2 linked regions of the Diceros bicornis minor genome follow. The protein of the gene in region 2 interacts with the protein of the main gene of each other region in a pairwise test. Links are inferred from orthologs where the notes say so. Each region holds a gene or a part of one and is shown on either strand. Other genes may lie near its edges.

Region 1 (7,461 bases), on a different chromosome or scaffold from region 2:
CAATCACTGAACCTGCTGATTTTCTCAGCTGTGAAATGCGGAGTAGCACCTAGACTGCTGGCAGGATCACCAGGAGGAGAGAGAATGCACATAGTAAGCACTCAATAAATGGTAGCTATTCATATTTTTACTACACTGAAGAATACAAGGGCAAGTGGTCCAAGATCACCTAGTAACTTAGCAGCAGAGGAAAGAGTTTTGGATGCCAAGCCACTGATTCCCAGGCTGACTGATTCCCATTACATAATTTTCCTTAGGGGTGTGAGTGTGGATATTCCAGCTAAGTCTCTTGCCTTCTGACCCACAGTCCTACTATGTTTCTGAACTGGCTTCAGCAATGCTGTAGGTAGTTCTGGAGCTGATACAGCAAATGCTGTTATTCTGTCCCAGGGGAAGGATGCCCAGAAGAGATCATTCAGAACAGCAGTTACTCTCTAGAGAATGACTGCCTTCAGCTTCAATCCCTGGCGTGAGGTGTTTTATCAAGCCAGTGGCCTCCATACCTCACACTCTAGTCCCTTTCACCTCATCCTCTTGCTACCTCAAGCTCCTCCCTTTATCTACCCACTGGTCCTGGTCTAAGAGCAAATCAAGAACAAAGTCCAGGGCTACTCCCTACCTAATCAGATAGATTTATCCCCTTTCCAGTTTAATTTGATATTCAGCCATCCTCACTGGGCAATCCTTTCATTAGAGGGGAATGGGCTGAGATAATAAGACTAAGCAGGCCCCAGCACGGAAAAGACAAGAGAGAGGGAATATACAGGGTTACAGAGATCTGAATTTGAGCCTCGCTCTGCCATTCCCAGCTATGGATCCTTAGTCACGTCCTAAGCCTTAGTTTCCTTATATGTAAAACTGGATAAACTAGAGCCTACTTAGGAGGGCTATTATAAAAACTGAGTAAGAAAGTACCCATAAGAATTGAAACTTAGTAAATTTTGAACACTAACTACACACCAGACACTAGGTACTCTGATTTACTTCACTGAATCTTTACAACAATCCTACAATGTAAGTCCTGTTATTAACCCCATTTTACAGATGAAGAGCCAAGCACAGGGAGGTTAAGTAACTCATTCAAGATCACAAAGTCAGGAAGAGATAGAGCCAGGATTTGAATCCAGTACATCTGACTCTAGAGCAGGGTTCCTCAACTTTGGCACTACTGAAATTTTGGGCCGGATAATTCTTTATGACTGGAGGGCTGACCAGTGCACTGTAGGATGTTTAACAGCATCCCTGATGTCTACCCACCAGAGGCCAGTAGTACCCCACATCTCAACGATGACAACCAAAAATGTTTCCAGACATTGCCAAATGTCTCCTGGGGGACAACACCAGCCCCTGTAGGAACCACTGCTTTAGAACTTGGCACAGGACTAAATGCTCAATATATATGAGTTCCTGTTTTCGTGTCTCTCTCCGAGCCCAAACACCTCATTCACAGACGCACTGCCTCTTCAAGCTCTAATGGACCTTATATAGGATTAATTCCATCTACTTATTCAACTGATGAGGAAAATAAGGCCTGCGGTCTTGTTCCCTCATCCTTTGGAGGTCTCACACACTATCGGCTATCACAGCTTAGGGGAACAGGGAGAGGGGAGCTTAGGCAGATGACCTTGAATAATTTCCTGCTTCACGCTCCCTTTGACAACTCTCTTCTCCCCCCAAGCCTACCACTTTCAGCAGGCCTGGGCTCAGAGTGGAGTTAGTGGCAGTACCATGGCTGCCTCGGGATAAGGGATCTTTGGTTCATGAGTGAGGGCGATTCTGTCCCTCACAAGGAAAGTCAGGCTCCTTCAGGAGTCCTGATCTCTGGAGACATGACTTCGTTGCTGAACCCCTGAACTCTCCTAAAGTTCATACACTCATATATGGTTTCATACATTACTTCTAGGTCCTTGGGTCCCCAGAACTCCTTTTACTTCCCATGCAGAGACTTCAAGAAAATTTCTTTAGCAGCCCATGACACCAATCCACAAATCTATTCGGAGTCCTTTAATTCTACAGTTCATTTGGTACATCCCCACCCCACCATTCAACCCTCCCCAAATCCTGTTCCCAACTCTCTTACAATATAGAATTCCAGCCTTTTGGGCTCTATATTGCAACCTTCACCGATTCTTCACTCATGCACCCCAAATCCCTCTGACATACATCCTTTAATCCCTGTTTCCAAATCTCTGCAGCCGTCAACCCAGCATCCCAGTTTAACACCCCAATCCCACACCTCAATCCGAGCCCCCATCCCCTGCATTCCATCAGGCATTGTGCCGCCCTCCAACCTTGCTCCTTCCTCTTTTACCCACGTCATGGCACACGTTGCCTTCAAACCTTAACCAGGTCCCTTCTTTCTGCTAACAAGATACTGCTTCCCACTGATCCCCCAAGAACTCAGGCTCTCAATTTTCCCCAGATTCCCCCTGGGAAAACGCTGCCTCCTTAGCAAATAGGATAGCCCCTGACCCTGCTCCCTCTGATCTCAGATTTTGCGGCCCCCCCGCAAGAACAGTGCCCCCGCATTCCCTCAAATCTCCTGAGATTCTGCACCCCAGATTTCATCAGGGCTCCCAAATTCCTCCATATGTCCGAAATTCTGCACCCCTGATCCCTTCAGGGCCTTCAGATCCCCTCCCATCTCCCAGATGCTGCACACCATCTCTCCTCAGGGCCCCCACATTACCTCATACCTCCTGACATGTTGCACCGCGAATCTTCTCGGAGCCCCTCGCTCCCCTCCCGGAGCTGCATCTTCTCCTAGCTCTTCGGCCCCCTCGAATCCCTCCCGAGCCTGCCCCTTACAGCCCCACCCCCACCCCGGCCCTGCCCCTAGGATCCGGCCCCCAGACCCTGCCATTCGGGCGTGGGCCGGCCGCTGCACGCCAGCACAGCCCCTGCCCCGCCGTTCAGCCACCGTCCGTGACTCTGCCCGCGGTCCCTCGTCCCCCACCCTCCTTCCCGCCCCCTACCTGACCGCCCGCGGCTCCGACGCGTCCACCGTCGCCAGCCCACCCGCCCGCCGCCCTCTGCGCACGCGCCAACGCGCGGCCCTTGGCGGGCGCCAATTCACAGAACCGCCTGTCCATCACTGCGCCCCGCCCCCCCCCCCCCGAGGCATGCTGGGGCTTGTAGGCTGGCTGGCGCGAGTGACCGCGTAGGGGCGAGGTCTCCGCTGAGATATGCAGAGCTTTAGGAACACGTCACTCAGGTTCCTGTCCCCGTTGTACAGATAAAGAAACTGAGGGCCATTGTACAGATAAAGAAACTGAGGCGAAAGGGGCCTGCCCAAGTTCCCTCAGAGTCGGGAGGTAAACCAGAACTCACGTGTCTGACTCCAGTCTGTATCAACCCCGTCGCTAAATCGCATCCTCCAGGAGTGGTCCTCAGCAAAGCCTGGCGCCTCACAGAAAGGCCTCTCTGAACCTCAGCTTTCCCATCTGACAAAAGGACCAAGGAAATACAACTTACCCTCGGGGGCAAACACAGAACCTGGGCTCGCTTAGAAACGTAGTTCTTCTGGCCCCATGTTTCTCCCTGTGACACACCGCCGCCTAGAGACAAGTTTATCTGATGAACAAATTGTTCTGCTGAAGGAGTCTTACGCCTACTCAGCTGCGAGGCCAACAGCAGAGGTAAATATGGGAATACAGTCTGCAGCTCCTGTCCCTGCACACTGAAGATACCCAGGAACCCACACCTGAGTCTAGCTTCGAGGGAGCCAGGAAAGGGTAGAGTCTTCCCAGGTGGGAGGTGGTCTGGCCTCCTGGCTGCCAAGAACCTGTGGCCCCTTAGGTAGTTTGAAGCCAATTACCGGCTCTTGCAGGTGACCATGTAGTATAGGTTAGGAGCAGGAAGGGGTTTGGAGTAGGATGGGCTTGGACTTGAAATCCCACTTAGTTATGTGACCTTGCACAATGATAAAACAACAAACAAAAACAGTAGCAAAGCTAACATCTTTGAGCACTTAGTGTCTGGCTGCAGCTGAGCACTTCATATGCGTAGTTCACTTCATCCTCATAATGACCCTATTAGATAAGCAACTGATGCCCAGTTGGTTAAACAGCAAGGCCACATGATCATAAGTATAAAGCCTAGATTGGAACCCAATTCTATATGAGAATCCACCCTCTTAACCTTGTTTAATCTTGCTGCCCATTTTTTTCTCTAAATGGAGATGAAGTTTGCTGTGAGGATTAACTGAGATTATGAATATATAGTGGTTTGCACTTAATTAATGGTAAATATTTTTTTAAATTCCACTTAGCTCTTACACTCTCTGGACTGCTGATTCCAGAAGCCCCAGCTCCCAGCATTTCAGATATTGAGGGCAACAGGAGTCAGAGTTGGTATACTTCATGGCATCCTTTGAACAGGCTAGGGAGCTCTGGGGCTATCTGAGACCTCAAGGATATACTTGCAGTCCAGGGCCAGCTAGGGTTTGACCAGACAGGCCAGGAATAGGTTGAGTCAGGAGTGGGCTGAAGAGGGGGCCCAGTCAGGGACTCATGGGCCCTGGGGGCAGGTTTTGCTCAAAATTGGCAGCCCGTGGATGCAAACAGAACCTTGCAGGGCCAGGGGAAGAGAAGTACGTGCTTCTCCCACCTTCCTGAGCTTCTGGGAACTCCGAGGTGCTTGCTGCATGCTCAGCAAGTACCAGGACTTGTAATTTGATGACTTCTCGCAAAGCACATACCAGGTTGGGCTTTAATTATCCACTTCCCTGCAGTCTTCACTAGTGGGCTGAGGGACAGTGCCTGTTTGTCATCACATCTATTAGCTTAGTGCCCAGCACATAAGAGTTGCTGAGTCAGACTTAGAAATGTGACCTTAGGCAAATCATATCCCTGTCTGACCTAGAGTTATTCTAGCTGCAGAATGACTCAGTGGGGTCAGTTGGGAAAGAGCGGACCATTTTTTGAACACCAGCAGTATACCAGGCTCTTCATAGATATTGTCACACGTCACAATTAATCCCCTTAACAATGACTGAGGTAGATATCAGTAGCTGCATCTTGCAGAAGAGGCAACTGAGGCTCAGCAAGACTAAGTACCTTGCATATGGTCACCTCCTGGGAAGTGGTAGGGCTGGGGTACAAACCCAGACCAGTCAGGCCTATGACACACTGAACCACCATCCAAAGACTCATCCACATTTTATGACACCAGCTATCTTTCTATTTTGTTGAGTAAGGCTTGTTTGTAAGACTCAAAAGAGAGAAGGAGAGATGATGATGCTTAGGAAGTCAAGGAATATGGGGCAAATCATGGCTGTTGTCAAGACCACAGAGCATGATCCTGGTAAGGCAAAGACACCCAGATGAGCTGGTCTGAGCGGCATTGCCAGAGAAAAGCAGGAATTGCCCTCTGCCCTGGGTTCCTGCCATGTTGGAGACTCAGAGTGGCCTGTTTTACCAGAATGGCAAGGAACTTCTCTGGACAGGGGCCTGGGTACTTCTACCAGCCCCTGTCTTGTAGGTGGGGGCAGATGGGAGAGTTGCTGTGAAATAGTTTAAGACCTCACTTATACCCTCTTCTCAGACCAGGTAGGGAGTTAGCACCCTGTTTGCTGAAAACCACAGTTACCATTTACCACTTAAACTACCTATATCAGTTTCCTAGCCTTTTCATAACAAAGTATCGCAAACTAGGTGGCTCAAAACAAGAGAAATTTATTTTCTCACAGTTCTGGAGGCTAGAAATCTGAAATCAAGGTGTCAGAGGGGCCATGCTTTCTCTGAAGTCTCTGAGGGAGGATCCTTCCCTGCCTCTTCCAGCTTCTGGTGGCCCCAGGCGTTCCTTGGCTTGTGGTAGCATAATTCCAGTCTCTGCCTCCATCTTCTTGTCGTCATTTCTCCCTGTGTAGCTCCGTCTCCATGTGGCATTCTCCTCTCTGTGTGTGTCTCTGTCTTCTTATAAGAACACCAGTCAGATTAGATTAAATATGACCTCTATCATGCCTAATTAAAATTCCAGTGTGACCTCATCTTAACAAATTACATCCACAATGCCGTTATTTCCAAATAAAGTCATATTCTGATATACTGGCGGTTAGGATTTCAACATATCTTTTTAGGGGACACAATTCAACCTTCAACCAATAACATCACCCTATGGGCTAAGTATTGTTTTCTCTATTTACAAAGAAGATCTCTAATTTAACCTCTCTTTAAAATGGGGATAACAATAGCTAATTCACAGGATTGTTGGGAGAAAATGAGATACTGGATGTTAAGCATTTACAGATTAGGATGTTGCCTAACATGTAGTAATGTTCATTGTAGTAGTAATGTTCATTGTATTGCATTTATTATTATTGTAAATAAGTTTGTTTATTAAGTCCACCACTATGTAGTAGAAAGAGCAAGGACTTTGGAGGATCCCAGTTCTACCCACCCAGTTCTACCCACCTGGAAGGTTATTTGGGGGAATAGATTAGAAGATGATTTGAAGGAATGCTTGGTAACTTGTTGCAGCTGACAAGCTCTGTAACCTTGGACAACTTACTTAGCCTCTCTGTACTTAACTTTCACCTCTGCAAAATGGGAGTAATAGTACTTATCTACCACATTGGAATGTTGTGAACGTTAGATGACTTAATAAACCTAAAGCTTTTAGAGCACTGCCTGGTAAAGAATAAGTGCTCTATGAATGTTAGCTACTGTAGTCATTATTATTATTGTTATTATTGCTATTCTCTACAAAATATTCTCCTTTTCTTCTCTTATTAGCAACTGAATTCTGAGAAGGAAGAGGAATTTCTTGCTTATAAAATGTGGGGGAGAAAATGTAAGCAGTTAAGCTCTAATACATCCCAGCCAAATTTGTCTGAGTCTAGAGATTTAGAATTGCTAGAATTTTCATGAAATAATATAAAACTATATCTATCTGTATTACTTACCTATCATTGGGCAATAAATGATCCCCAAACTTCATGTTTTAAAACAACACTCATTTCTTATCTCATAGTTTCTGTGAGTCAGGAATCTAAGCACAGCTTAGCTGGGTCCTCTGCTTCATGGTCTCTCACAAGGCTGCAGTCAAGTTATTGGCCAGGGCTGGGGTCTCATCTGAAGGTTTGGGGAAGGATTGATTTCTAAGATCACTTATGTCGTTGTTGACAGGTTTCAGTTCTTTTTTTTATATATAACATCATTTATTTGTTTATTTGTTCATTCATTCATTCATTCATTCCTGAGGAAGAGTTGCCCTGAGCTAACATCTGTTGCCAATCTTCCTCTTTTTTTTTTTCTTTCCTGAAGACGATTAGCCCTGAGCTGACATCTGTGCCCATCTTCCTCTGTTTTATATGTGGGTCACCACCACAGCATGACTGACAAGTGGTGTAGGTCTGCACCCGGGATCCAAACCCGAGAACCTGGGCTGCCGAAGCAGAGTGTGCCAAAGTTAACCACTATGCCACAGGGCTGGCCCCAGGTTTTGGTTCTCTAAGACTTG
Region 2 (7,705 bases):
CAGGATTGTTGGGCTCCTTTCACTGTCCAGGGAGATGCATTTACATACTGCACCCAGTAAGAACAGCCTGTGGGTCTCCTTTATAAAAGTTGAGTAGCTAGAAGCCTCATTCAGTGTCTCCAGTCCAGATGACTGAAAGAAGACCAATTGAAATAGTGAAGTCTCTCGTCTGGCTTGGGCAGCACAAATACTGTGCATAAAACACTTGGAGTAGTCCAGGCACAAGACAAACCCACCTGAATGGACGAGGAACACTGTCTGTTGCCATGGCAGCCTGATCTAATTACATGAGTGATCAGGGCTGGAGTAAGTGCAACGAAAACCTACACCACTGACAGTATCTTCATGATGAGAAAGGCAGGCAGGAGAGCCCTTCAACCTCTGCTTTACAGAGAAGGTGGCATTCAAGACCATTTGTGTGTGGAGCTGCTAAAATATTGACTGATGCATGCACAGTTAGAGGGCAATCAGAGGAGATTAAACGCCACAGCATTAGCCGCTATGGTGCAATCCCTTTCTACGAGTTCATGTGCAGGATTTTCCCATCCTTCTCTCTGGTTCTTCCTCCGGCATAACGGCATAAGCTTCATTCCAAAAAAAGCTCAAGTATCCAACTACCTTCACCCACCAAATACACCAGAGGGTGGGCTTAACAGGAGCTTCTAGGAACTGCAGGGCTCCTCAGAAACCCAAACAGAAATGGCTTAGCTAACATTGTTGAAAAAGTAACTAGCTATGACTAAAAATAACCACCAAATAACTACCCACTGTGTGTGCTCTATGTAAAGATGATGCTTAAATATTAAGAATACCCTGCATTATAAAACACAAATGTCATTGAGATGTGACTACTAGATTCCCAAAGGAGAACTTATTTGCATACACACATTGCCGTGCATGCACGACAGGATGTGCAGGGAGCATGCCACTCTAAGGCATTAGTTTTTATTCTGTGGGTGTAATAGGGTCTTCTAATTTTGCTAATTGTATCCTGTGGATCTCACACGGAAGCTAAGAATCTCTTCGGGGACAGAACCAGTTTGGAGGAGTCCCTACTGCACAGCATACGGTAAACAAAATAAAAATAGCTTGCCGTTCTCGTTAGCCACATCGCGCATTATATAACCAGCTTCCGACTGGCTTTTTTTCCCCCCTTACTACTCTTCAGCAATTTCCCAACCTTCCCAACTATTTATATTACCCTCTTATCTGTCGGATTATATACTAAGAAAGCAAAACAAAACAGAGCAGCCACGGGATTGAACCGAACCCCACAGTTCTTAGAAACTGATTTTTTTTGTTGTTTTCTGGCAGGATCTCCAACATCACCCTACTTCCACCCCCCACTAAGGTTCTTGCTCAATCTCCCTAGAAAACCTGAATTGTTTCATCGCTGCCAGTCAGCCCACTACGTGGTCTGACATAAAATGAAAGCACAAGCTACAGAGTTTAGGAAGGCGGCCTGAGGGCGGGAGGCTGAGGAGGGGTCGGGGCGCTGCAGAGTCAGCCAAGTGGCCACAGAGGGGGCTCCCTCCCCATGGCGACTGCCCTCGCTGCCCCCCTCCCCCGCGCACACACAAACACATACGCACACGCACTCGCACTCACGCCGGGCTCTGCCACCGCCTCACCTCTCGCTCCGCCCGTCCGGCCCCCTTCCCTGCCCCCTGCGGGACCGGCCTGCGCGCAGCTCTGGAACCACGTAGGAAGAGGCAGCGGCGGCGGCGGCCGCGGGAGTGGCAGAGTCTCCAGCACGGCCCAGAGTGAACGAGCAGCGGGGCTCCAGGGCGCATCCCAATCCCCGCAGCGCCTCCTCCGCCGCCGCCGCCTCCTCTTTCCCCTCCTCCTGGCTTCATTCACCCTCTCAGCAGCGGCGCAGCCGTTCACTCCCGGCGCAGGCAGGGCAGCGCCGGCCGCGGCTCTTCTGCTCCTGCTGCGGGCGCTGGCGGGGGCGCCGGTCCGGGCCGGGGCGCTCGCGGGCTCCCGGCGGCGACGGCCGCTGCACATGATCAGGAAGCGGCCGTACCAACAGGGCGGCGGTGGCGGCAGCCAGGGCCGCCACCGCCACTCCAGCCGCGCTCCCGGCACCCGCACGCCGGCTCCCCTCGCTCCCACCCCTCCGCGCCCCCAGCGCTCCCACCGCCCGGCCGTGCGCAAAGTCCCGGCCTCCGCGGGGAGACCCCCACCCTGGGGCTCGCAGGCCAGGCGGCCACCCGCGGGGAAGCCTAGCCCTCCTCCAGACCCACTGGCTCTCGCCGCCCTCTTTGGAGAGAGGGAGGAGGGGGCCGCGGGAGGAGGGGGCAGCGCGACCCCCGGCAGCCGCCGTCTCCCCTTACGCCACCTCAAGGGAGGAGGACATGGCTCGCCGCACTCTCCGCCGGACCGGCAGCCGCGGAGCGGGGCACCGCCGCCGCTTTCCCCGCCCGCGCCCCCAAACCGGGCGCACCCCCTCGCCCGGCGGGCGCCCACCCGGCCCCGGCAGACCCCCTGCCGGACGTCCCTGCGCCCAGAGCGGGGGTGTCGGCCCGGGAGGCTGGAGCAGGGGAAGGCTGTATGTACACACGCACACATACACACACATAACACAACACGACGCGTCGATTTCCTTCGCTCCTCTTCCAGCTGTTTTTCGTGCCGCCGATTGGGGTTTGGGGTTTGGGGTTTGTTTGCCGGTTGTTGCTTTTACCCCTCTCGGGAGAGCGGGGATGGGGGGGATTTTAATCTAAATAAGGGGAGAAGGGGATGGGGGGAGGGAGGAGGGAAAGAATCAGAGGAGAAAAAAAAATAGCCACTTACTGTAAAGTGTAAATGGATCTGGGGTTGCGTGGGGAAGGGGGGGCAGAGGGAGAGAAACAGTGTCTTGCGGCTGCTGTAGCTCTGGCTGCTGCTCCACGGGGCTTGTTTTGGATCCCCCTGCAGTGAAACAGGTCCTGTACGGCTCCGCCACTGTAGTAGAAATGATGTCTGCGGTATACTCTGCTCTCTCCTCCTCCTCCTCCTCCCCCCGCTCCCCTCCCCTCCCTCCTCCCTCCCCCCTCCGCCCGCCCTCCCTCGCTCCCTCCCTCCCTGGCGCTCTCTCGCGCTCGCTCGCTCGCTCCAGTATGTAAATGTGTAATAGAAGCCAAATATGGAGCAGTTGGCTGCCGCCGCCGCAGCTCAAGGATCCGACTTGGGGGCGGGGGGGCACCCTCTGGCGGGCGGCGGAGAGAGCCGCTGTGAGCACCGCGAGCGCGCGGCGCAGCGGCGGCCCGCGCCCTTAACCCTTCGGTGCGCGCTGCCCGGGCTCGGCGGCCCCGGGGGAGGCGGGCGCGTTTCCCAAAGACTGGATTGCGATCGGGGTGAGGAGGGCGGGAGGGGAGACACGGGCTGAAGGGGAGAGTTCTTCCAGGTTTGGGAAAGGGGCGGGGAGCTGAAGCGATGAGGTAATTTTAGCGGTGACCGGTCGGTCCTCGCGCGCCTCCCCGGGTCCCTGCACCTAGTTGGAGAAAACAGAGCGACATCAGGGTGCAACTCGGGCACCCTGGAGGACTCTCCGAGGGGTGTCGGGCTTCAACTCCGAGCCCATGAAATACCCCAGGGGAAGGGGAGGTGGCCAGTTCTGATCCCGACGTGCCCTTCGTCCCCGGCGCGCCGAGAAGCATCTAAGAGGGCTGACTTCGATCGTCATGCAAGTTAACCCTGAAACCGGTTTAGCTTGGGCTTTCCGGAACCCAGACCACCGGGCCGCGGGGATTGCCTTTGCGTGCAACTCAAGAAAGTTTTAAGGGTCCCCCCGATTGCACGTGCACCCTTACCTTTACTGCCTGCGAAAACCGGTGACCTCCCTGCTCTCCTTTTTCTCTCTGCAGGTCCGGAAATCTGCTTGGGGTATTGAACTACCCAGCTCTAGCCTTGGTAGACGACCCGCGCACTCCTCTTGCAGCTAATTCGGGATCATTAATTTAATCGGAAATGAGGTAACCAGTGTAGGAGATAAAGAAAGCAAACCGAGCATCGAATGGCACTTCTTGTGAATCCGCGCTGAAGAACTTCCTCTGGACTCAATTTTTAAGTGCGGTTCTCAACTCCCCACCATCCCGCCCCCTCGGCATCTACCACTGCCAGGTGTTAGCTCGATGGGAAAGAATTTTCTTTGGAGGGGTGCACCTTGCCAACAGGTGTGGCACCTGGAGGAAGAGAAAGCACATCCACGCTATAGCGAGGTCGGTGGGGCGTTCTCCTTAATGCAGATAATTCTGGAAGACCAGTAGGTGTCGGGACAGCGTTTGACTTTCTTCAGGTGCTTAGAACCAAGTGTCTGGAAACATGATCCTTCCACGTAAGTTTCTCTCGGGAAGCCACCACTACTGACTGTAAGCTGTATTTAAGAAAACTTTTGGCTGAGTTTACTTATGATCTAACGGTTAGTCACCAACTGAAGCAGGATACAGAATCACCAAGAGAAATATGTCAGCTTTTAAACAACTGTATTGTAGAGTCAACGTGCTACAGAAATAAAAATAAGCATACTAACTAGGAAGGTGTAGGGCCCCGGAAATCATTTTTTTCTCACATTTTGAAATACCATGCACATATACATGGCTACTTAAATAGAATTACTCTTGTTCACTCTTACTCATGTCTACAACTTTTTTTTTATCATTTAACAATCAATGATTGCTACAGTTTAAACCTCGAGGTTGGACTAAGGTGATATTGTTGGTCTCCTTACAGCCTCTAGTGGACAGTTTAAAATCAGTTTTCTGAAAAGGCTCTGCCTGGTGGTGTTTTCGTTGACAAGCATTATCAAGGTGAAGGTTAACATCTCAGAACATAACCGGGTAATATCTCTTCCCCCCACTTGGCAGAGCCGGCTTCTGAAAGGAGCAGAAGCTTGTTGGCTCTGCACGTAAAAGCCGTATGCGTTGTGCGGCAGGTATTATATTACTGGCCTGCGAATAAACAGAGAGCTGCTGCTATTCATTTCAGTTTCAGACAGATTTCATAAAAACTAAATTCATCTAAAATATTTTTATAACAGAAAATATTGGTTGCCATGTTTTTGGCTTAACTGAGATGTTTTTATTCCAACTCCTGATCTGCAGACTGTCCAATCCACCTCCACTTTATTTTTAGACATCTTACGTGTAGAGAATTTGGGGTGAAAAAGAGCTAATCTTTTAATTATTACATTGACATAAGCAGTTAGTTTAAGTTATTTTAACAGCCTTAAATGAAAACACATAATTCAGATTAGAGTTAGTCAATTAATTTAAATGTTCCCTCAAGGAAGCGAAATATGTATATTACCGAAACAGTAAGAACAATTAATAAAAAATGTGTCATTTACTTGCTTAGCCATTAAGATTAAAGCCATAAACTGCCATTAAAATCTGTAACTGTTTCTTCCTGCAAGGTCCAACATAAACATAATACTCATGATGGAGTTTCTTTACCTTCAGTACTGAAATGTTTTCTTTTCAGATGGCAAAATATTAAACGTGCAATCACAAACAACTGGCACTGATTCTTTAAAAGCAAGACTTTCTCATGTGAATAAAAACTCAATGAAAGAAGAGATGGCTTTTCAAGAAGCCAGTAGACAAAAATGTGGTACTATAGTCCTATTCATAAACTTGATACTATATTCGTACGAGCATAGGCCAAACTTTGAAATTAGAGCAAATTGAGAAATAAGGCCTGCTGAGCCTTACTCCTAATATGTGTTCTGGATTGCTTAAACACCATGGAAAATCATTTTCAACCCTTATGTCTATTTCATTGTTTTGGTAGTATCTACTTTTGAAGGTTTAAAATGGGCTATCAAGTATATATTCTATCATATAATTATGTATTACATCTTGCTTCTGAATGCGTAATCTTCAGAGCAACAGCAGCAGCATCTGGGAACTTTTTAGACATTCAGAATGAGAGTTCCACCCCATTCTACTGAATCAGGATCTGTCTTGTGATTCCTAAGCACATTATAGTAGGAAGAACCTTGTCTATACTGCAGGGCCCTGTCTAGATGAATCTGGCCACAGCTGCAGAACTTAATTCTTCTATTTATTCCTTTTTTACTCCCTCACCCTGTTATTAATTTGCACTTGTTAATGGAAAATTATTATATTTTATGCTTTGTTCAAATAGTACTGCATTTCCAAAGAGCCCTGATTTATGCACAAATCTGCATCATCATTGCTGAGAGAACACTCTGGGAGCAATGTACTGGGGTCTTGAATGTGAAGGTTTTCTTCACAGCAGCAGAGGGAGCACAAGAGTGCTTAATAAAACCAGTGCATGGGCCCTCCAAATGGTAAGGGATTTTAAATTGTACTATAAGTTTTCATTGGAAGTAACCTCTTACATCATTCAAAACAAAGCAAAACAAAAACAAGCAAACTCAAACAGCTTACCAAGTTATAACAACTAGATAATTGGACAGATTGGAAATTAAATACAATATAGCTATACTTATTTAGAGTTTAGGCTTGAATTCTTAGAAAGTAAACCTCAAAAGTCATACTTGGAAAAGATGCCTTAGTTTTTCTCCCGTCAGAAATAAAGATAACAGGATCCAGAATAAAAGGCAACTCGAAGAGTAACTCCTGTTTATCTAAAAACATTGGGGTCAGTTAACCCAACACTACGTCAGATCAATTCATTTCATTTGGAGTCAAATATGTTGGTGAAAAAATGTGAACTTTTCACCATGTTTACTTTCACAGTAATTGTAGGGGTTTATCCTTATGTTTGCAGTGGTGAGGGTTTACGTTTCAGTTATATCTATGTGGCATTTCATACTTGCACAGTCTTCCGCACTGCATCTTCACACACTTCTGTGAGGTGGCTGAGACATAGGAAAGCCGAGCCTCAAAAAAGTTTTGGAACCAGGTTGTGCCTTGAGAGCACTGGGTCATTTAATTGTTACAATAATCCATTCAGGTGTTCAGAGAGGAGGGGAATGGTAGAAGTTCAAATCCAGCAGCGTGTTCTTTGCAGTTTTAACAGTTTTTCAGTTACTAGATAGTGAATGTTTAATAGTGAATATTTAAATAAGAGACTGTCTTAATTCTCAAGCTGCTTCTCATGTATTTATTGTTTATTTACCAGCAGCCATTTATTTTGCATCTACAATAACTAGGATCTGAGAATATAAAGATGAGTAAGACATCTCTGTCTGCAAGGAATTCACAGCAAAACAAATCTTAATCTTTTGAAAAAATGTTCATTTTGACCATGATGAAACTTAAAGATTCATAGTTGATTGATCCAGCACCTCTCAGAGTCATTACATCAATCAGACTTCCAAATATGAGAATCAAATACTAGAATCATTGAAAATCTGGGAGGTGGGAGGGCAATTGCATAACATCTGGAAGGTGGGAGGGCAAAAATAATTTGAAATATTAATATTTCAAATTTGTAAAACAAGCAAAATGCAGAGATGTATTTTATCTGAATGCCTTCCCTAACAAAAAAATCTTATGAGTAAATTCAAATGGTAAACATTTATTTATTTATATCTTTAAAAAAATTATTAACAAGAATTTCCTCCTACGCTAAAGAAAGATTTGCCAAGTTTCTGCCTGGAGCAATTTGTTATGGCTGTGTCATAAATCCTGGAAAGTTTGAATTTTTAATGGAAACACTGACAGACCTTTGACCATGCTATTATAAGGAGGGTGTTATCCTACATATGTCATTTAAAAATCTGAGCAAATCA

The links.
Region 1: the proteins of ATXN1 (region 2) and TRIM32 interact in binary tests that used the Homo sapiens proteins (3 or more experiments, as listed by UniProt). The link is inferred for Diceros bicornis minor from reciprocal best matches to the Homo sapiens genes ATXN1 and TRIM32.

What each region holds. Positions count from the first base shown.
Region 1 is NC_080767.1:24,431,540-24,439,000, reverse strand, and holds the start of TRIM32 (E3 ubiquitin-protein ligase TRIM32), read right to left. Parts: upstream 3,011-7,461; 5' UTR 2,976-3,010; intron 2,738-2,975; exon of another isoform or gene 2,690-2,737; intron 1-2,689. UniProt on the Homo sapiens protein: E3 ubiquitin ligase that plays a role in various biological processes including neural stem cell differentiation, innate immunity, inflammatory resonse and autophagy.
Region 2 is NC_080753.1:50,433,745-50,441,449, reverse strand, and holds the start of ATXN1 (ataxin-1), read right to left. Parts: upstream 3,019-7,705; 5' UTR 2,797-3,018; intron 1,958-2,796; exon of another isoform or gene 1,632-1,957; intron 1-1,631. UniProt on the Homo sapiens protein: Chromatin-binding factor that repress Notch signaling in the absence of Notch intracellular domain by acting as a CBF1 corepressor. Binds to the HEY promoter and might assist, along with NCOR2, RBPJ-mediated repression. Binds RNA in vitro.